3 linked regions of the Macaca fascicularis genome follow. The protein of the gene in region 1 interacts with the protein of each later gene in a biochemical or structural test. Links are inferred from orthologs where the notes say so. Each region holds a gene or a part of one and is shown in the gene's direction. Other genes may lie near its edges. The genes, in order: PTPRC, CSK and LCK.

Evidence for each region.
Region 2: of the proteins of PTPRC (region 1) and CSK, one has a biochemical effect on the other in vitro, tested with the Homo sapiens proteins (2 studies listed by IntAct). The link is inferred for Macaca fascicularis from reciprocal best matches to the Homo sapiens genes PTPRC and CSK.
Region 3: of the proteins of PTPRC (region 1) and LCK, one has a biochemical effect on the other in vitro, tested with the Homo sapiens proteins (5 studies listed by BioGRID and IntAct, with this or other methods). The link is inferred for Macaca fascicularis from reciprocal best matches to the Homo sapiens genes PTPRC and LCK.

The regions. Positions count from the first base shown.
Region 1 is NC_088375.1:56,453,585-56,460,778, forward strand, and holds part of PTPRC (receptor-type tyrosine-protein phosphatase C), read left to right. Parts: intron 1-861; coding exon 862-970; intron 971-1,281; exon of another isoform or gene 1,282-1,386; intron 1,387-1,658; coding exon 1,659-1,693; intron 1,694-4,155; coding exon 4,156-4,265; intron 4,266-4,819; coding exon 4,820-4,910; intron 4,911-5,000; coding exon 5,001-5,077; intron 5,078-7,027; coding exon 7,028-7,064; intron 7,065-7,161; coding exon 7,162-7,194. UniProt on the Homo sapiens protein: Protein tyrosine-protein phosphatase required for T-cell activation through the antigen receptor. Acts as a positive regulator of T-cell coactivation upon binding to DPP4.
Region 2 is NC_088381.1:51,921,707-51,928,063, forward strand, and holds the end of CSK (tyrosine-protein kinase CSK), read left to right. Parts: intron 1-650; coding exon 651-744; intron 745-921; coding exon 922-987; intron 988-1,065; coding exon 1,066-1,165; intron 1,166-1,254; coding exon 1,255-1,345; intron 1,346-1,770; coding exon 1,771-1,844; intron 1,845-1,943; coding exon 1,944-2,139; intron 2,140-2,246; coding exon 2,247-2,333; intron 2,334-2,581; coding exon 2,582-2,764; 3' UTR 2,765-3,423; downstream 3,424-6,357. UniProt on the Homo sapiens protein: Non-receptor tyrosine-protein kinase that plays an important role in the regulation of cell growth, differentiation, migration and immune response.
Region 3 is NC_088375.1:202,752,518-202,759,711, reverse strand, and holds part of LCK (tyrosine-protein kinase Lck), read left to right. Parts: intron 1-5,621; exon of another isoform or gene 5,622-5,679; coding exon of another isoform or gene 5,680-5,708; exon of another isoform or gene 5,709-5,728; 5' UTR 5,729-5,749; coding exon 5,750-5,914; intron 5,915-6,131; coding exon 6,132-6,478; intron 6,479-6,708; coding exon 6,709-6,807; intron 6,808-6,949; coding exon 6,950-7,053; intron 7,054-7,194. UniProt on the Homo sapiens protein: Non-receptor tyrosine-protein kinase that plays an essential role in the selection and maturation of developing T-cells in the thymus and in the function of mature T-cells. Plays a key role in T-cell antigen receptor (TCR)-linked signal transduction pathways.

The DNA.
Region 1 (7,194 bases):
TGAATAATTAGTGCTTACTACGTCCCAGCCACCGTGCTACGTGTTTACTGTGAATCAACACCTTTAGTCACATTTTAGGATTTTGGGAAAGGAGGGACAAAGATAATAAGAAATCTGGCCAAGTTCCCAACTAAGAAGTGGTAGAGCTAGGGTTGGAAGCTAAGCAGTCTGGCTCTGGAGCTGAGGCTCTTAAGTCACCGCATTATTTTGCTGCATTTTCACTACATAAGAAAAGGTGAATATACTGGAGATATTTCCAACACACCCTCTCTTCTATGCCCTTTCCTTAGGAAAAGGCAGGATTTCACATTAAACTTAGTGAATATTTAAGTCAGGGTAAGTCTTATCCTAACTACAGAATGAAACCATTTTTGTCTCTTGAATTGATTTTACACCTCAATGAACAGGTAAGAGGGTTTATCTTTGTGAAGTAGAAGTCTTTCTCATCCCCTTAAGAGACTACCCTCTTCTGCATACGAAGTTAAACTATATGAGTTTGTCTCCAAAAATTATAATAACTGGATTACCTCCTTGATCCCTTCAAACTGAAGTGTCTGGAAAAAAGAGAATTAAATTTAAATGTGTCTTATAAAAGAACTTTATTTAATCAAGAGAAAGAGAATTGTTCTTCTCTTCTTACTCTCCTTAAATATAAAATGTTTTTATTGGTTCTAAACAATATGGCCAAAATCACAGAATTAGAACTTTATTGTATTTGACCTTATTCTAAAATGTTTATTTTTTCAAACCTCACAATAAATTGAAAAATATTAAAATGTAAATACTTTGGAGGTGATTATTCAACCAGTCTAGCAAGTTGTTTGACAATGGTTCTCTGAATGTATTATTTTTCATTTCTAGATAATTCTAAGGCACTGATAGCATTTCTGGCATTTCTGATTATTGTGACATCAATAGCCCTACTTGTTGTTCTCTATAAAATCTATGATCTACATAAGAAAAGATCCTGGTAAGAGTTGATTATGAATTTTCAAATAATAATGGTAGTAGTAATGGTGCAAACACATATCCATATGGCAGTGAGGGAACCAGTTAAATGAAATACATGAACTAGAGAGAAGACAGCATAAAGCCCACTTCATGACGGAACTTTTAATCAAAAACTTTTAGTATGGTTTTATTGGTTTGAATTAAACATTAATGTTATTTTCCTAATTTACTAATAATATTGTGGACTTGTTTAATAATAACCAGTGAAAAGAACGTGTGTGTTTTTTAGTACAAAGTGGGTCAGAGGGATCTAGGAGTGACGAAAGCAAAAGAAAGGAGGTAGATGTCTGGGGAAGTTAATGTGTTTCGTTGGCCAGAAACAACCACATCTTATGAAAAACAGAAGATTTAAAATAAAATCATTTGGCTACTTATGTGAGTTTAGCAAACAAGTCTTGGTTGTTTCTTTTCCTCCCTCACCCTCCTCTCTCCTCTCTGACTCTCCTCTCTCCCATCCTTCTGTCCTCCCTTTGCTCCAGGCTCTCTTCCTGCCTTCCCTCCTTTCCTCTTCTCCTTTCCTCTCTTCTCCTTTTCTTCTCCCTGACTTCCTTCCTTTCCCTTCAATGTATTCATTAAATATAAGTTAAATACCAACTGAATTCTGTGCTTCTTGAGAATATAGAAACTTATTTTTCCTGTTTTCACAGCAATTTGGATGAACAACAGGAGCTTGTTGAAAGGGGTAAGTATGCATATTTTTTGCTGATGAATATTCCTTCCCCTGCATTTGAATCCATTCATTTTATTTCATTTATTTATTTATATTTATTTTAAGACAGAGTCTCATTCTGTCGCCCAGGCTGAAGTGTGGTGGTGTAATCTCTGCTTACTGCAGCCTCTGCCTCCAGGTTCAAGCAATTCTCTTGTGCCTCAGCTTCCCAAGTATCTGGGATTACAGACACAAAGCACCAGGCCCAGCTAATTTTTGTATTTTTAGTAGAGATGGGATATCACCATGTTGCCCATACTGGTTTCGAACTCCTGGCCTCAAGTAATCCGCCCACCTTGGCCTCCCAAAGTGCTGGGATTACAGGCATGAACCACTGTGCCCAGTCCCATTCATTTTAAATAAGAACCGGGCATTTTTAATTTAACTTGGACTTCTGTTGATACAGTGATAAAACTTAAATTCCTTTACTCACTCAGCACCTGTGAAGTTCCCAGTGTACGCCAAGCATTGTGCCAGGTACTGAGAGTACTACAGTGACAGGCACAGACTCTGCCCTTAAAGGGTTTGTAATCTAATAGAGGAAAGCAGATATATCAAGAAATACGACGGTAATTTGATACATGCCCTAGTAGTTGAATGTGTATGATTCTATACATATATAGAAGATAGAAAACTGTGTGCGAGGGCGGAAATCTGGTCTGTTAAGATTGTGGGGAACCAATGGACCAACAAATTAGGGAGTGGTGGAGGGAAGAGTGGATGGAAGTCACAGAGATGGGGAGATGGTACATCTCCTCAAGTCCCTGCCGGGGTGGAATGCTGGCTGCTCCCACTAAAGACGCATTTATGGACAGGATAAAGAACAGCAATTTTACTTAGGAGAAGAAAACAAATTTGTTTATCTTTTTTTTCAACATTTATATTATTTAATTTTTTTAAAATGTGATTTCTAATCCAATAAAAAGGGACAAAGTTGAACCTTTGCAGAAATTGAACTTTTGTTTACAATAAAGAAATTTACTTGCTTTCTCATGCTTAAGACAGGAATAATTTCAGAAGTCCTTTGTGTTAATCTGTGTTAGAAGTGTTTCCCTCTGGTAATAGCAGGTACCAGGTCTCTATGCAGAAACTTTAGGGTTGAATCTTTTGTGCTCCTTAAAAGGCTTTATTTTTATTTGCAGAATGTAACACTATCTGACCCCTTATTACATATTTATTCATTTGGTTGTTGATTATACTCCCCTAACTAGAATGTAAGCTTTGTGAAAGCATGGAGGCTTTTTTTCTTATTTACTGCTTTATGCCCAGTACCAAAGTGAGTATCTAGGATTTGATAAATATTAGTGAATAAATAACACTGAGATAGGGTATCCTGAGGATTCATTTTCATAAGCTGAGGGAGGAATGAAGAGCACAATCAGTAATAAACACCTGAGCAGAAAAGGAAAATCCATCTCAAGGAGTTAAGGTGGACTTGGAAAGTGTCAATGAAATATTTTATCTCAAAATTGATTCTGATTGCACCTTGGAATGCAGTAGAATTTACTCATTCAGACCCCATGAAACCCTGAATGTGGCCCTCAGTTCAGAATGAATGAATACCAGGCATTCCCAACAACCTAAAGAAACAATTGCATATAGCCAGTTTGATAGCTGTGATTGGATAGAAAGTTTCCATGGGTAGTAAGACAAATGGGTTGCCCTCATGGATACCTTTTTTCTTTATCTGTTAAATGGGTAAAATTAATATGATTACTGAAAGAAATACTATCAGTAGTACATGGAAGAGTGGGAGAAACATACTTTTTATATATGTGACAGATTAAATTATCTTACCTTTCTAAAGGGTTTGGTTTTCAAGTTCCATATGCAATTATAGCTTTTTATGGTTAGTATACTTTTACTATTTAGTAAGTTATTTCACAAACATAGTATATCATGTGTTTCATGTACTTGAAGCAAAACGAATTAACACAACTGTTTCACCGTTTAGTGTAAACAGATGATCAAATTAAGCTGTGTCATGGGTATAAGGGTATTAATCATATTGTCTTATTTCATTTGCATGTTTACAGCATTTTACAAGTTGAAAATGAAAACAATACAAAGAAAAATAATAATTGTATTATAAATAAATAAGTATGGCAATTGCTATAAAATACATATTATCAAACAAATGTGAATGTCCTTATAATGGTGATGTTTAGTCTGGCATCCCTTCTCTAAGCATAGAAAATGGGGAAGAACATTCTGGTAGAGGGAACAATATAAAGCCCGGAAGAGATCTGAAGTACAAGATTGAGCAGTCATTGATTTGTAGGTAAATGTTTGGATGTGAGTGAGATTTCTCAGATGAAATGTATACGAAGAGGAAAGAAGCTAAAGGATTGAGTACACGGTGTAAATTTAATGAAATGTGTATGCCCACCTGAAAGACACATATAACTAGTACTGAATCTTTAATATGTTTCCAGATGATGAAAAACAACTGATGAATGTGGAGCCAATCCATGCAGATATTTTGTTGGAAACTTATAAGAGGAAGATTGCTGATGAAGGAAGACTTTTTCTGGCTGAATTTCAGGTGTGTGTTGCTTTTGTTATATGATAAATTCAACATCAAGACAATTCCACTTTAAATGTATTTATATTGCAATTTGCCTTCATAATTTATCCCACTTGATATTGCAACATAAGCAAAATAGATATTATTAGCAGATATCTATGAACCAGAAGGAGACTCATAGAGGTTGACGAGATTATAGTGTGGAGCTAGTAAATATTTCAATGTAATGCTTTATTGTATTATGAAGTTGTGTCACAAAATGTATTTGGCTGATTTTGTAGTTGTACTCTAGGTACTCATCCAAGTATCTGTTTTTAAATGAATTTGATAGTGACACAACAACTAATCCTAAATTTGTCCCTACTCAAGAGATTTGTTCTGAAAGTTGTCAATCATTAATTTTTTTTAAAAAAGTGATTTTATTTTTACATAATTCCTGATCTTAATTTCAATTACTCTAAGCAAATTTTTTTTAGCAATATGAGGAAAATGTTTTACAGGATATCTCATTTGCTCAAAACGATCATTTTTCCTGAATCTTCTGTGATCCAAGAAATCATTGTTTCTTTCAGAGCATCCCGCGGGTGTTCAGCAAGTTTCCTATAAAGGAAGCTCGAAAGCCCTTTAACCAGAATAAAAACCGTTATGTTGACATTCTTCCTTGTGAGTACTTACCGAGTATTGAATTCCCATATATTTAGGCCACTTGATTATTCATTATTTTACTTGTTTATTTTTCTTTTCCTTAAACAGATGATTATAACCGTGTTGAACTCTCTGAGATAAATGGAGATGCAGGGTCAAACTACATAAATGCCAGCTATATTGATGTGAGTAAAAATTTGCATTTTTCCTTTTTTTTTTTTTTTTTGAGACGGAGTCTCGCTCTGTCGCCCAGGCTGGAGTGCACTGGCGTGATCTCGGCTCACTGCAAGCTCCACCTCCCGGGCTCACGCCATTCTCCTGCCTCAGCCTCCCGAGCAGCTGGGACTACAGGCGCCCGCCACCGCGCCCAGCTAATTTTTTGTATTTTTAGTAGGGACGGGGTTTCACCGTGGTCTCGATCTCCTGATCTCCTGACCTTGTGATCCGCCTGCCTCGGCCTCCCAAAGTGCTGGGATTACAGGCGTGAGCCACCGCGCCCGGCCAAAATTTGCATTTTTCTTATTCCTGTATATTTCATTCAGCTCCTTCTTTGTCTCGGCAAAATTTTAGAAATATTATTAAAAATATTTTGAAGTGAGCCCATATGTCACTGATAAAAACAGAAAATTATTAATATTTGCAAGGATATTTATTATGTGACTATTGGTATTGGGTATAACAGAATTTTCCTCTACAAACAAAATTATATTAAGAATTAATTTAATGTACTCTGGTACCTCTTGTGTGCTAGATATTAGACTAAATAATCTATACATGTATTTCTCAAAAGAAGCCCACATTTGCCTCAGCCATGTGCCATATAAGTGAGGACTGGAAGGCTCAGTTTAGTTAATTACCTTGTCCTTGTTCACACAACTGGTAAATACTTGAGTTGAAATTCAACCAGAGTCTGACTGACTCCAAAATGTTATCCGTTAATTTAATCATACTAAATTTCAGCAGACACTCCTCATCAACACAGATCATCTGTCCACTGGATTTATGCAGAAATGTAAATGTCTGTACGTGGTTAATTTATTTAAAATATCTTAAAATTTAATTTATTATACAAATGTTAAATAATTAATCCATTATATAGGTTAAATAATTTTAAACAGTATAAAAATATATACAGACTGAAAAAATCTTTTTTTCTCCCCAAATCTGCCATTTTCCCAGTGTCCTCACCTACCAGAAGCAACTATATTTTCTATTCAAATATATATGGTAATTATGGTATCAGGTTACTTATGTTTCTCCATTGGAACTTGGAGCTCCCAGAAAGCATATGTCTTCTGCTTTTAGATAGGTGATTAACATATTGTAGCTATTCAATAAATACTTATTAAGTAAATGAATGTATGCGCAATACTGTGTCATGAGATAGAAGTTTCAGGAAGTTACTTAAATTAATGTTGAATTCTTGTGACCCATGTTTCAAATTTAATCCAATGGTAAAGGCCATCTCTTTCTGAAGAGCTCCTTTCATTGCTGAGGTGAATTTAGGAGTCTGAGATAATTCTGGAAGAAGCCAGTATAATATTTTATCTGCCTCTGTACTCCTTTATCTTGGTAACAGGAGCAGAGAAAGCAGACATTGTAGGTAATGAAATGAAAGTTATTATATCTCTTATCCGAAATGGCAGAGAAGTCTAGGGAATCATCATATTCCAGCAGAAATTAAGAGGTGAAAATGCGGGTAAAATCCAAGAATGATTTGTTGAAAGAAATTGAGTAAAAATCCCAAAAGTAACTGCATGGCTGGTGAGCAGGTTTAAACAGTGGCAGATGATCCTATAAGAGTTGGCAGGATATAAAATGTTGAAATGTCTAGAGCACTTTTGTAAATTATAACAACATCCCAGATGAAGATGAAGCCTAGTGTTAAAATTGCTTGAAGTTTACAGCAAAGATACATGAAAGTCATGAATATTCTTTGCAAATGCTAACATGTTGAGCAAATTAAATGCCTGACCACCAATTAATAAGATCCCCTTAATACTTTGAAACTGCCCAGAGAAATTCACAATCACAAAATGATGGATCTAAGGCAATTCCTCTAACTCACAATTTTTCATGTTAATGAGTAATTGAATGTTCAGCAAATGACATATCTTTGCATGTGTTTTCAATAGGGTTTCAAAGAACCCAGGAAATACATTGCTGCACAAGGTAATTTCTTTGATAATCCAATATTCTTTTTGAAAAATTATTTTATAGCACTTTTAAGAAAACATTTCTTATCAACTTTTATTTGTTTACCTCCTAGGTCCCAGGGATGAAACCGTTGATGATTTCTGGA
Region 2 (6,357 bases), on another chromosome or scaffold:
GAGGTCACACAGCTATAATTTAGTGCCAGGACTGGATTCTGAGTCTGTCTGATCCCAGAGCTAACTTTCCTCCAGCCACTCACAGACCTGCATACCCAGAAGTGTGCGCAGAAGCATGAGCCATGTGCCTTGATCGCCAGGGCCCCTGAGGCTCTCGCAACCTGCATGGACATGCCCACGGGTCCCTGCAGCTTCCCAGGCCCGCTCTGCCAGTCCTGGCCAGGCCACACCTGGCATCCGGTAGCCACAGACAGCCTCCCGTGTCCCTCTGTATTTACTCTCATCTTCCTCCCCTGCTGGCCTGGCTTGGCCTGTGGCAGGTGAGGGTGGGGTCCTGGGCTCTCCTGGCTAGAGGCTGGTGTCAGGACCGAGCCATGGGTTGCCCTCTGCATTGGATACCTGTGGGGTCCAGAGTGGTAGCAACAGCTGAGTGTCCAGCAGCCACATGTAGGGTGGCATGGGAAATGGGCCATACGTCATAATCCGGGACTTCCCTAACCCCTGCCCTACCAGAAATGGGGAGCCCTCCCCACTCAGTGACTCCAGGCTGGGCGGGGCCGGCCTCTGCCGCCCCCTGGTGGTCAGGCCTGGACGGTGCATATGGGGCACCTTGGGCTGTCTCTGAGCACCCTGCCGCCCACACCCTGCAGCACTACACCTCAGACGCAGATGGACTCTGTACGCGCCTCATTAAACCAAAGGTCATGGAGGGCACGGTGGCGGCCCAGGATGAGTTCTACCGCAGTGAGTACACCCCACTCCAGACCTCTTGCCCACCCACCTCCTCCCACGCAGGCTTCCTGGCACTGCCCTTATCCAGGAACCTCCAGAGAACCCCATGTGCTTGATAGTCCAGTCAGCCTCTGTCATCCCAGCCATGTCCCTAGCAGCCTCCAGGCCCTCACTGGCCCCTCCCCACAGGTGGCTGGGCCCTGAACATGAAGGAGCTGAAGCTACTGCAGACCATTGGGAAGGGGGAGTTCGGAGGTGAGCTGGGCTGGGCTGCCTGAGGGGGGGCGCCAAGGGACTCAGAACTTGGGAACAAGCCAACCTCTCTGCCCCCAGACGTGATGCTGGGCGATTACCGAGGGAACAAAGTCGCTGTCAAGTGCATTAAGAATGACGCCACCGCCCAGGCCTTCCTGGCTGAAGCTTCAGTCATGACGTGAGTTGGGGCAGGGTAGGGGGGAGGTTGGCCTAAGCTAGGAGTGAGGCTCTGGCTTCCCCTTTCTGACCACTCTCGTCCTGCCCCAGGCAACTGCGGCATAGCAACCTGGTGCAGCTCCTGGGCGTGATCGTGGAGGAGAAGGGCGGGCTCTACATCGTCACTGAGTACATGGCCAAGGTGGGCACCTGCTGAGACCCGGCACTCGGGTTTTCCAACTGCCCCGAAACCCCCACTGTGCTCTGGGGCCCCTGCTCCCTCGGTTCCCCGACCCCAAGTGACCTTTGAGGTCACCAGGGCTGGGCTTTTGTCCTGGTTTACAGTTTATTGACTGTAACCTTGGACAAATCATGTCACCTCCAAGCCTCAGCATCACATCTGGGAAATGGAGATAATAACAGCTTATCTCAGAGATTTGTGAGAGTCAAGGGATAAGGCAGGAATAACACAGAGCAGTGTCCAGCACGGATGTCCTGGCCCCTCCCCACTCCTTCCCTGTCTCACACCTCCTTGGAGTGTCAACACCCACCCGGCCCCAGCCTGCTGTGTGAGAGGGCTGCAGGGCACATCTGACTCTGGGCCTGGTTTGTCCTTCCTTCTCCCAGGGGAGCCTCGTGGACTACCTGCGGTCTCGGGGTCGGTCAGTGCTGGGCGGAGACTGTCTCCTCAAGTTCTCGCTGTGAGTGAAGCAGCCTCTTGGATGGGTAGGGTTTGAGGGGTACCCTGCCCTGCTATGGGGGCCCCAGTCTGAGGGGACGTGTGCCTGGCCTACCCCCAGAGATGTCTGCGAGGCCATGGAATACCTGGAGGGCAACAACTTCGTGCATCGAGACCTGGCTGCCCGCAACGTGCTGGTGTCTGAGGACAACGTGGCCAAGGTCAGCGACTTTGGTCTCACCAAGGAGGCGTCCAGCACCCAGGACACGGGCAAGCTGCCAGTCAAGTGGACAGCCCCTGAGGCCCTGAGAGAGAAGGTGGGGCAGGCCTCCCCTGGGGCCTACAGAGGTGGGCAGGAGTCCTGGGTCGCTCCCCACCCCTAGAGTCCCAGGATCTGACGCTGCTTTTTCCATCCACATGGCAGAAATTCTCCACTAAGTCTGACGTGTGGAGTTTCGGAATCCTTCTCTGGGAAATCTACTCCTTTGGGCGAGTGCCTTATCCAAGAATTGTGAGTATAGGTACTGGGATCAGGGTGGCTCTTGGAGCAACGAAGGGGTTGGCAGGGGCATGAGCCTCCTTGGGCCCTGCCTCCCCAGTCAAGGCCTGGAAGCCTCAGGCCTGCCCTGGGGAGCTCACAGGCCACTCTCCGGGCCTGGGTCTGGGGCAGAGCTGATGGGCATCCCTGAGAGGCTGCTGGGTAGATGTCTTCTCTGGGGCCAGGCCCTGGACTGACTCCTGCCATCCTCCTGGCCACAGCCCCTGAAGGACGTCGTCCCTCGGGTGGAGAAGGGCTACAAGATGGATGCCCCCGATGGCTGCCCGCCCGCAGTCTATGAGGTCATGAAGAACTGCTGGCACCTGGACGCCGCCATGCGGCCATCCTTCCTACAGCTCCGAGAGCAGCTTGAGCACATCAAAACCCATGAGCTGCACCTGTGACGGCTGGCCTCCGCCCGGGTCATGGGCCTGTGGGGACTGAACCTGGAAGATCATGGACCTGGTGCCCCTGCTCACTGGGCCCGAGCCTGAACTGAGCCCCAGCGGGCTGGTGGGCCTTTTTCCTGTGTCCCAGCCTGCATCCCTCCGGCCCCGTCTCTCTTGGACCCACGTGTGGGGCCTGGGGAGCCCACTGAGGGGCCAGGGAGGAAGGAGGCCACGGAGCGGGAGGCAGTGCCCCACCACGTCGGGCTTCCTTGGCCTCCCGCCGCTCGCCTTCTTAAGAGTTTTATTCCTTTCCTTTTTTGAGATTTTTTTTCCGTGTGTTTATTTTTTATTATTTTTCAAGATAAGGAGAAAGAAAGTACCCAGCAAATGGGCATTTTACAAGAAGTACGAATCTTATTTTTCCTGTCCTGCCCATGAGGGTGGGGGGGACCGGGCCCCTCTCTAGGGACCCCTCGCCCCAGCCTCATTCCCCATTCCGTGTCCCATGTCCCGTGTCTCCTCGGTCGCCCCGTGTTTGCGCTTGACCATGTTGCACTGTTTGCATGCGCCCGAGGCAGACGTCTGTCAGGGGCTTGGATTTCGTGTGCCGCTGCCACCCGCCCACCCGCCTTGTGAGATGGAATCGTAATAAACCACGCCATGAGGACACCGCCGCCCGCCTCGGCGCTTCCTCCACCGAGCCTGCCTGTCCTGCCCGGTCGTCCCTCCCATGCCATCTTGTCCATCCCCCTGTCTCTGTGAGTGGGGCTGGGTGGGGAGCATGGCCGGGAGATGTAGCCGCCGCTTTGTGTCAGCTGCACGAGTGAGTGTCCTGTGTTTGCCCTCGGGGAAGTGCTCACCACCCGCCCCACTGTCCAGCTACCGCCGAGCCCAGCTCTGGAGCCCCGTCCACAGGATGCTGCCTGGGGGTTCCAGCTGCCTCCCCTGGTGTGTTGTTCAAGCCTGCAGCACAAGGAGGGCTAGAGCCAGGGATGGGAGGGAGCCCAGGCCTGCACAGATGGGAACGGGATTCTAGTCAAGCCCCCTGTGCGAGAGAGAGAAAAAGCAATGGTGGGCCCAGTGGGCTTCCTCTGGTAGGAAGAGAAGCGTCTTATGCCTGAGAAGATGCTGACCCGGAGGGGTACAAGAAAGCTCCTGGTGGTTCTCTACTTTTACCCATGATGTCACAGCTTTGCCCTGTCCCCACCCCTGCCATGTGCCAGGCCTTATGTCATACCAGACTTGGCAGGGGCTGAGGATGCAGGGCAGAGGGGAAATCTTGGCACCTTCCAGTCAGGGGGACTCACTCCCCACCCCACCTTGTCAGGGCACATACAGGGAATGTGGACCAGCCATGAGATTTTCTCCCCTCACTCAGGTTGTCCAGGGGCAGTGGTCAGTACAGAACCTCTGAAGGTGTGAGGAGGCTTCATGTATTCCCTGAGGCAGGCAGGTGGGGTGTTCCCCTTGTCCTTTTGTGGCCCTGACGCTTCCTCTACCAGCCAACAGGACCTGAAATCCAGGGAGATCTGACTTTGAAGTCTACCTTGTGTCTGTTCCTCAGCCCCGCTGTAGTTCCATCCACCATGATCTCTCCTGGCCCAGTGCAACAGCCTCCTTGCCACCTCCACTCCATCTTCTCTGCACACTGCCAGACTAATTTTTCTAAAACTACACCATTCATTCAACAACAAATATTTGAATACCTACTGTTTGCTAGGACTGGGGTTCATCAGTAAGCAAAACACACCCTGTGGAGTCCACAGTTGGGAAGACAATCAAATAGTCACATATAGGCGGTGACAAACTTAAGTGCTACAGGAGGAACACAAAACATGGGAATCTTTGTAGATCAGGGAGGGCTTCTGGAAAGAAGCAGCATTTAAGCTGAGATCTGAAGCGGAATGAACAGGTTGTACGGCAGGAGTTAGCAGCATTCCAGGAAGAAATGCTGAGACTGGACGGAGGGCAGCTTTGTCAGATCTCCAAGAAGGTGGGTGAGGATGTACAAACAGCCAGGCCTGAGAGGTGAGACTGTGGCTGTGGCAAAGACTTGGCTTTTATCAAACAGAATAATGGGAAGCCAACGACAAGTTTCATCAGGAGGGTGACATGTCAGATAATCTTTTTTTTTTTTTAAATGAAGTCTCACTCTGTCACCCAGGCTGGAGTACAGTGGTGCCATCTCAGCTCACTGCAACCTCCATCTCCTGGGTTCAAGCGATTGTCCTACCTCAGCCTCCCAAGTTACTGGGATTACAACAGGCATGCGCCACCACAGCCTGGCTAATTTTTGTATTTTTAGTGGAAACGGGGTTTCACCGTGTTGCCCAGGCTGGTCTCAAACTCCTGACCTCAAGTGATCCACCACCTTGGCCTCCCAAAGTGCTGGGATTACAGGCGTGAGCCACTGCACGCGGCCCAGATACGTGTTTTTGAAACCACCCTAGCTACTGGTAGAGGAGTTTCAGGAAGTACAGTGAGGACTGGTCCAGATGAGAGACGGTCTCCAGAGAGATTTAGCCCCAGAGCTAAAATTGACCGAACTTGGCTATGGATTCTGTGTGAGGGTGGAGGAGAGGGAGAGGCCACAGCAAGGCCTGACTGAGCAGAACGGATGCAGGGAGGGCAGCAGGGGGCATCCGCTGAGCAAGGATGGGAGACTCATGCTTAGGAGGGAGCATCACGAGCTCTGTTAAGACCATGTTAAGGTTTTTGTTATTTTGATACAGGGTCTCGTTCTGTCGCCCAGGCTAGAGTCCAGTGGTGCAAACACAGCTCACTACAGCCTTGACCTCCCAAGCTGAAGCAGTCCTCCTGCCTCAGCCTCTCAAGTAGCTGGGACTACAAGTGCATGCCACCATGATCGGCTAATTTTTAAATTTTTTGTAGAGACGAGGTCTCCCTATGTTGCCTAGGCTAGCCTTGAACTCCTGGGCTCAAACGGTCCTCCTGCCTCAGCCTCCCAAAGTGTTGGGATTACAGGTGTGAGCCACCACACCCAGCCACACATTGAGTTTTAAGTGAAGCTTTGAAACTGCAAAGAAGCCGGGCGCGGTGGCTCACACCTGTAATCCCAACACTTCGGGAGGCCAAGGCCAGTGGATCACTTGAGGTCAGGAGTTAGAGACCAGCCTGACCAACATGGTGAAACCTCATCTCTACTAAAAATATAAAATTAGCCAGGGGTGGTGGGGCACACCTGTAATCCCACCTACTCAGGAGGCTGAGGCAGGAGAATTGCTTGAACCAGGGAGGCAGAAGTTGCAGTGAGCCGAGATCATGCCACTGCACTCCAGCCTGGGCAACAAGAGCGAAAATGCATCTCAAAAAAAAAAAAAAAAAAAGGTCAAGAAGAGGAGGTTGACCACACAAGTGCCATGTCATAAAAGCCAAGGGAAAAGAACTTCAAGAGGAGGAAGCCACCAGGGTCCCCGCCTCCCAGAAGGCACAGAGAAGGAGGCTGAGTCTGCCACTTGGTTTTATTTATTTATGAAACGGAGTCTCACTCTGTCGCCAAAGCTGGAGAGCACCGGCACAATCTCAGCTCACTGCAACCTCCGCCTCCTGGATTCAAGCAATTCTTCTGCCTCAGCCTCCCGAGTAAC
Region 3 (7,194 bases), about 150 Mb from region 1:
TGGGCGACAGAGCAAGACACTGTTTCAAAAAAAAAAAAAAAGAAGAAGAAGAAGACCGGAAGGATGGGGATAACACCCACAGATGTATGCCTATATGACCTCACAATTACATAGGGACAGTTGCTGCTATTCATAGTCTCATTCTGTTATATATCCCTCTGCACACACAGACTCCTGCAGACCCACAGACATGCACCCATAAGCACAGTGCTCACTGCATATGGTTTCATATGCATAGACTTGCATTCACCAGTCAGGTAAATACATAACCAGAAACATGCATTCCAGGTAGAGGGAGGATTGTCTTGAAGAGAAAAGCCTTTGTTAACAGCACAGTGGTCAAATTTTTGATGGGGAATGGACCCTGTCAGACCTGCCTTCCTGTCTCACATTCTCCTAGACCTCTCAGCCCTCCCCCTCTGCCCTTAGACTTCCCAGGGAGTGAAAAGTAGAGGAGAGAATCTTGATAAAGAATGTAGGAGCCAAGCCAGGCATGTGCCAGTAATCCCAGCTATCTGGGAGGCTGAGGTGGGAGAAGCACTTTAGCCCAGGAGTTAGAGACCAGCCTGGGCAACATAGTGAGACCTCGCCTAAAAAAAAAAAAAAAAAAAAAGGATCTAATTTGAGTTTTGCATCTGCCAGGAACCCTCAGCGTGTTATTGGGACAATCACTTAACCTCTCTTTTTCCCTAGTTTTATTTTTTATTTTATTTTTTTTGAGACAGAGTCTTGCTCTGTCGCCCAGGCTGGAGTGCAGTGGCACAATCTCGGCTCACTGCAACCTCCGCCTCCTGGATTCACGCCATTCTCCTGCCTCAGCCTCCCGAGTAGCTGGGACTATAGGCGCTTGCCACTACGCCCGGCTAATTTTTTGTATTCTGTAGTAGAGACGGGGTTTCACTGTGTTAGCCAGGATGGTCTCGATCTCCCGACCTCGTAATCCACCCGCCTCAGCCTCCTATAAGTGCTGGGATTACAGGCGTGAGCCACCGCGCCCAGCCTTCCCTAGTTTTAAAATGAGGCTGGTGAACTGTATTAGTGTTTCCTAAACTCTTGTGAAGACAAGGTGTCTTTTACCATTTCCTGTTCTGCACACCCTCTTCCCCACATGGATCTCATGATTTTAAAGTTTTTACCTACTAAGCTACCTCATTTAGATGCAAATTTTCTTATTTTCAAGTTAAAAAACAATTTAAATAGAGGAAGGGCCACACCACATTGTCCAGGCTGGTCTCAAACTCCTGGGCTCAATCAATCCTCTCTCCTCAGCCTCCCAAAGTGCTGGGATTACAGATGTGAGTCACTGCACCTGGCCTCAAGTTTAAATTTTAATCAAAGATTTGGCCAGGTACAGCAGCTCGGAGGAAGATTCTATTTTTTTTTTTTTTTTTTTTTTTTGAGATGGTGTCTTGCTCTGTCACCTAGGCTGGAGTGCAATGGCGTGATTTTGGCTCACTGCAACCTCCACCTCCCTGGTTCAAGCAATTCTCCTGCCCCAGCCTCTTGAGTAGCTGGGATTACAGAAGCGCGCCACCACACCCAGCTAATTTTTGTATTTTTAGTAGAGACGGGGTTTCACCATGTTGGCCAGGCTGGTCGTCTTGAACTTCTGACTCCAGGTGATTCACCCACCTTGGCCTCCCAAAGTGCTGGGATTACAGGCATGAGCCACCGTGCCCAGCCTGCTTTTTTTTTTTGAGACAGAGTCTCGCTCTGTTGTCCATGCTGGAATGCAGTGGCGTGATCTTGGCTCACTGCAACCTCTGCCTCCCGGGTTCAAGTGATTCTCCTGCCTCAGCCTCCTGAGTAGCTGGGATTATAGGTGCACGCCACCACAACTGATTAATTTTTGTATTTTTAGTAGAGATAGGGTTTCACCATGTTGGTCAGGCTGATCTTGAACACCTGACCTCGTGCTCCACCCGCCTCAGCCTCCCAAAGTGCTGGGATTACAGGCATGAGCCACCGTGCCCAGCCTGCTTTTTTTTTTTTTTTTTTTTTTTTTTCTGAGATGGAGTCTCGCTTTGTTGCCAGGCTGGAGTGCAGTGGCACAATCCTGGCTCACTGCAACCTCCGCCTCGCGGGTTCAAATTATTCTCCTGCCTCAGCCTCCTGAGTAGCTGAGATTACAGGCACCCACCACCATGCCCAATTAATTTTTGTATTTTTAGTAGAGACAGGGTTTCACCATGTTGGCCAGGATGGTCTTGATCTCTTGTGATCTGCCCACCTTGGCCTCTCAAAGTGCTAGGATTACAGGTGTGAGCCACCAAGTCCAGCCTTTTTTTTTTTTAGACAGGTTCTCGCTCTGTTATCCAGGCTGGAGTGCTGGAGTGCAGTGGCACAATCATAGCTCATCGCACTCTTGAGCTCCTGGGCTCAAGTGATCTTTTGCCTCAGCCTCCCGAGTAGCTGGAAGTACAGGCGTGCACCACCACACCTGGCTAATTTTTTGATTTTTTTCTAGAGGTGAGGTCTCACTATGTTGCCCAGGCTAGTCTGGAACTTCTGAGTTTGAATGATCCTACTGCCTCAGTCTCCCAAAGTGCTGGGATTACAGATGTGAGCCACCACGCCCAGCCAGCAACTCCAGGTTTGCTCTACTCCAAATAGGTTGTGTGACTTTAAGCATACCTCTGTGGGCCTCAGTTTGCTCATCTAAAATCAGAGGTTTAGCCAGGTATAGCAGCTCATGCCTGTAATCCCAGCACTTTGGGAGGCCAAGGAGGAAGGATCACTTGAGGCCAGGAGTTTGAGACCAGTCCGAGCAACATAGCAATACCCCCATCTCTAGAACAAACAAAAAATCACCTGGGCTCAGTGGTGCCAGCTACCCAGGAGGCTGAGGTTAGAGGATCACTTGAGCCCAGGAGTTTGAGTTTTCAGTGAGTTAGGATTGGGTCATTGCACTGCAGTCAGGGCAAAAAAGTGAGACATTATCTCAAAAATAGATCAACAAATAGTAAAATTGGAGATTAGGCTTGCTGGTTTCTAAGACCTTTGCAGATGGGAGACTCTGTGCATTAACACTCCACGTTCCAGTTGACATTTATTAACTAATTTTGGGTGCTGGAGGCTTTCAGACGAATAAACTACAGTTTCTGCTCTTGATGAACCCCCACTCTCATCAAAGGTATGGGAGAGGCAGTGGGACCTTGGGGTGACACGTGAATCAGTAATCGTGGAACTCTGTGCCTAAGTTGATTATTGAGGTCTGAATAGAATGTTGCAAGAGACTGGGGTGAGAGGGAAGCAAAGACCATTGGGAAGTCTTCACAGACTAGGTGATATTTAGGCTAGGTTCCTGTAATCCCAACACTTTGGGAGGCTGAGGCAGGAGGATTGCTTGAGGCCAGGAGTTCAAGACCAGCCTGGCCAACATGGTGAAACCCTGCCTCTACTAAAATTACAAGTTAGCCAAGCATGATGGTGCATGCCTGTGATCCCAGCTATCAGGAGGCTGAGGGAGGAGAATTGTTTGAACCTGGAAGGTAGAAGTTGCAGGAAAAAAAAAAAAAAAGGGTAATATTTGAACTGAGCCTTGAAGGTTGAGTTAGAATTCAGCAGGTGGACAAAAGAGAGCATGCCGACTGGGTTCAGTGGTGCATGCCTATAATCCTAGCATTTTGGGAGGCCAATGCAGGAGGATTGCTTGAGCCCAGGAGTTCGAGACCAGACTGGGCAACATAGTGAGACCTCATCTCTACAAAAAAGTAATCAGCTGGGCATGATGGTGTGCACCTTTAGTCTTAGCTGCTGGGGAGGTTGAGGTGGGAAGACTGCTTGAGCCCAGGGGGTCTAAGGGGATTGCACGACTGCACTTCAGCCTGGGCAAGGAAGGGGGACCCTGTCTCGAGAGAGAGAGAGAAAGAGAGAGAGAAAGAGGGCACATTTCACAGCAGAGGGATCCACAAGTACAAAGGCATTAAGTAAGAAAATAGCGGCCGGGTGCGGTGGCTCAAGCCTGTAATCCTAGCACTTCGAGAAGCCGAGACGGGCGGATCACGAGGTCAGGAGATTGAGAACATCCTGGCTAACACGGTGAAACCCCGTCTCTACTAAAAAATACAAAAAACTAGCTGGGCGAGGTGGCAGGCGCCTGTAGTCCCAGCTACTCGGGAGGCTGAGGCAGGAGAATGGCGTAAACCCGGGAGGTGGAGCTTGCAGTGAGCTGAGATCCGGCCACTGCACTCCAGCCTGGGCGACACGGTGAGACTCCATCTCAAAAAAAAAAAGAAAAAAAAGAAAATAGCATGGGGTGTCTGGGAAAGGCAAGAATAGTTCAGAACACAGGCTGTGTGTGGAGGTGTGTGTGGGGGTGCCTGTGTGTGGGTGTGTTTGTGTGTGTGAGTGTGGGTGTGTGGGGGTATGTATGGAGGAGATGCCTGTGCATGTGTGTGAGTGTATGTGGGGGTGAGTGTGTGGGTGTGTGCATGGGTGTGGGTATGTGGAGGTGCCTGTGTGTGTGTATGAATGTGTGTGTGGGGGTCATGTGTGTGGGTGTGGGTGCCTGTGTGTGTGTGTGTATGTGGGTGTGTTTGTGGGTGTGACTGTGTGGGTGTGTGGATGAGTGTGTGTTTGTGGGTGTGGGTGCCTGTGTGTGTGGGGAATATGTGTAGAGTGTGTGTGTGAATGTGTGTGTGTGAGGGTGGGTGCCTGTGTGTGTGGGGGGGCACTTTTGGGGGGTGAGAGTATGTGTTTATTGAGTGTGAGTGTGGGTGCCTGTGTGTGGGAGGGTGAGTCTGTGTGTGAGTGTGGGGGGGTACCTGTGAGGGGTGAGTGTGTGTGTATGTGAAAGTGTGTGTGGATGCCTCTGTGGAGGTGGGATGGGGGTGCCTCTGTGTGTGTGTGTGTAGGGTGTGTGTATATATAGGGTGTGTGTGAGTGTGTGTGTGTGAGAGAGTGTGTGTGTAGCAGAATGGACTGCGAAGGTGGATTTGATCTTGAAGTTCTGGAATGCACGGTACATCAAACTTTATTTGAGGACAGCGCTTTCCAACCGCTCTGAGGAGCAGCCCTAGACAAGGAGGAGCTGCAGGGACTCCGGGGGCTTCAAAGTGAGGGCCCCATTCTGCTTCAGACAAAACAGGCCCACACACTTATCGCTTTATCTATGGAGTTCTGCTTGATTTCATCAGACAAAAAATTTCCAGTGCTAACACAGGCAAATAAGCGACAAAAAAAAGTTATGGCCAACAGACTGACTGGAGGGTTTTCTGCTGGGGAGAAGCACGCCTGTGTTTGAAGGAACCCTGTGAGGTGACTGTGGGGCTATGTGAGAGGAACAGCGGGGTCCTGATGGTGGACTTAGGGAGCAGAAGCCTCTTTCTCAGCCTCCTCAGCTAGACAGGGGAATTATAATAGTAGGTGGGGCGTGCACACCTCTCCAGTAGGGGAGGGTCTGATAAGTCAGGTCTCCCCCAGGCTTGGGAAAGTGTGTGTCATCTCTAGGAGGTGGTCCTCCCAACACAGGGTGCCGGCAGAGGGAGAGGGAGGGGGCAGAGGCAGGAAGTGGGTAACTAGACTAACAAAGGTGCCTGTGGCGGTTTGCCCATCCCAGGTGGGAGGGTGGGGCTAGAGCTCAGGGGCCGTGTGTGAATTTACTTGCAGCCTGAGGGCTCAGAGGGAGCAACGGTTTGGAGCTGGGACCCCCTCTTTTAGCTTTTCTGTGGCTGGTGAATGGAGATCCCAAGATCTCACAATCTCAGGTACTTTTGGAACTTTCCAGGGCAAGGCCCCATGATGTCTGATGTTGGGGAGCAGATCTTGGGGGAGCCCCTTCAGCCCCCTCTCCATTCCCTCAGGGACCATGGGCTGTGGCTGCAGCTCACACCCGGAAGATGACTGGATGGAAAACATCGATGTGTGTGAGAACTGCCATTATCCCATAGTCCCACTGGATGGCAAGGGCACGGTAAGAGGCGAGACAGGGGCCTTGGTGAGGGAGTTGGGTAGAGCATGCAACCCAGGAGAAAGAAATGACTCTCCTAAGATCACACAGCAAGTAGCTGGTAGACTCAGGGATACACCCAACCAGGCTGGAGAGACTGAGAGCAGGGCAGGGGGGAAGGGGGCCAGAGTCTAACCCAGTCTTCTGCTTTCTGACCCCACCCTCATCCCCTACTCCACAGCTGCTCATCAGAAATGGCTCTGAGGTGCGGGACCCACTGGTCACCTACGAAGGCTCCAATCCGCCGGCCTCCCCACTGCAAGGTGACCCCAGGCAGCAGGGCCTGAAAGACAAGGCCTGCCGATCCCTGGCTGTTGGCTTCCACCTCACCCCCACCTACTCTCTCCCCGGTCCTGCCTTCCTTGTCCCCCGCCCTGTAACTCCAGGCTTTCTGCCCATCCCAGCCCGGTTCTCCCTGATGCCCCTTGTTTTTACAGACAACCTGGTTATCGCCCTGCACAGCTATGAGCCCTCTCACGACGGAGACCTGGGCTTTGAGAAGGGGGAGCAGCTCCGCATCCTGGAGCAGTGAGTCCCTCTCCACCTTGCTCTGGAGGAGTCCGTGAGGGAGCGCGATCTCCGGGACCGCAGCCCTCCTGAGGCCACCGGTTGGGGTGGCCGCCCTTGGGACAAAATTCAAGGCTCAGGACTGCTGAGCCAGGGTTCGGCGAGGCTGGCTTAAGGGGTGGAGGGGTCTTTGAGGGAGGGTCTCAGGTCGACGGCTGAGCTAGCCACACTGATCCGCCTCCGTGGCGCAGGAGCGGCGAGTGGTGGAAGGCGCAGTCCCTGACCACAGGCCAGGAAGGCTTCATCCCCTTCAATTTTGTGGCCAAGGCGAACAGCCTGGAGCCCGAACCGTAAGTGGGGACCCGTCGTGGGGGTGAGCGGGAGCAGATCTAGGGATCCTGGAGCAGGGAGTGGGCCTGGGGTGGCGGTGAAGGCTTGAGGGCCACGGAGGAATATCCGACGACAGCCTTCGTTCGCTTCCGCCGTGCACAGCTGGTTCTTCAAGAACCTGAGCCGCAAGGACGCGGAGCGGCAGCTCCTGGCGCCCGGGAACACTCACGGCTCCTTCCTCATCCGGGAGAGCGAGAGCACCGCGGGTGAGCGGGCAGTGGTCTCGACCGGGCGCGGGGGTGCCGCAGGGTGTGCCCGAGGTGGGGGCGCGGGATGAGCCCGAGGGGGGCGCGGGGTGAGTCCGAGGGGAAGCACAGGGTGAGCCCGAGGTGGGGACGCGGAGTGAG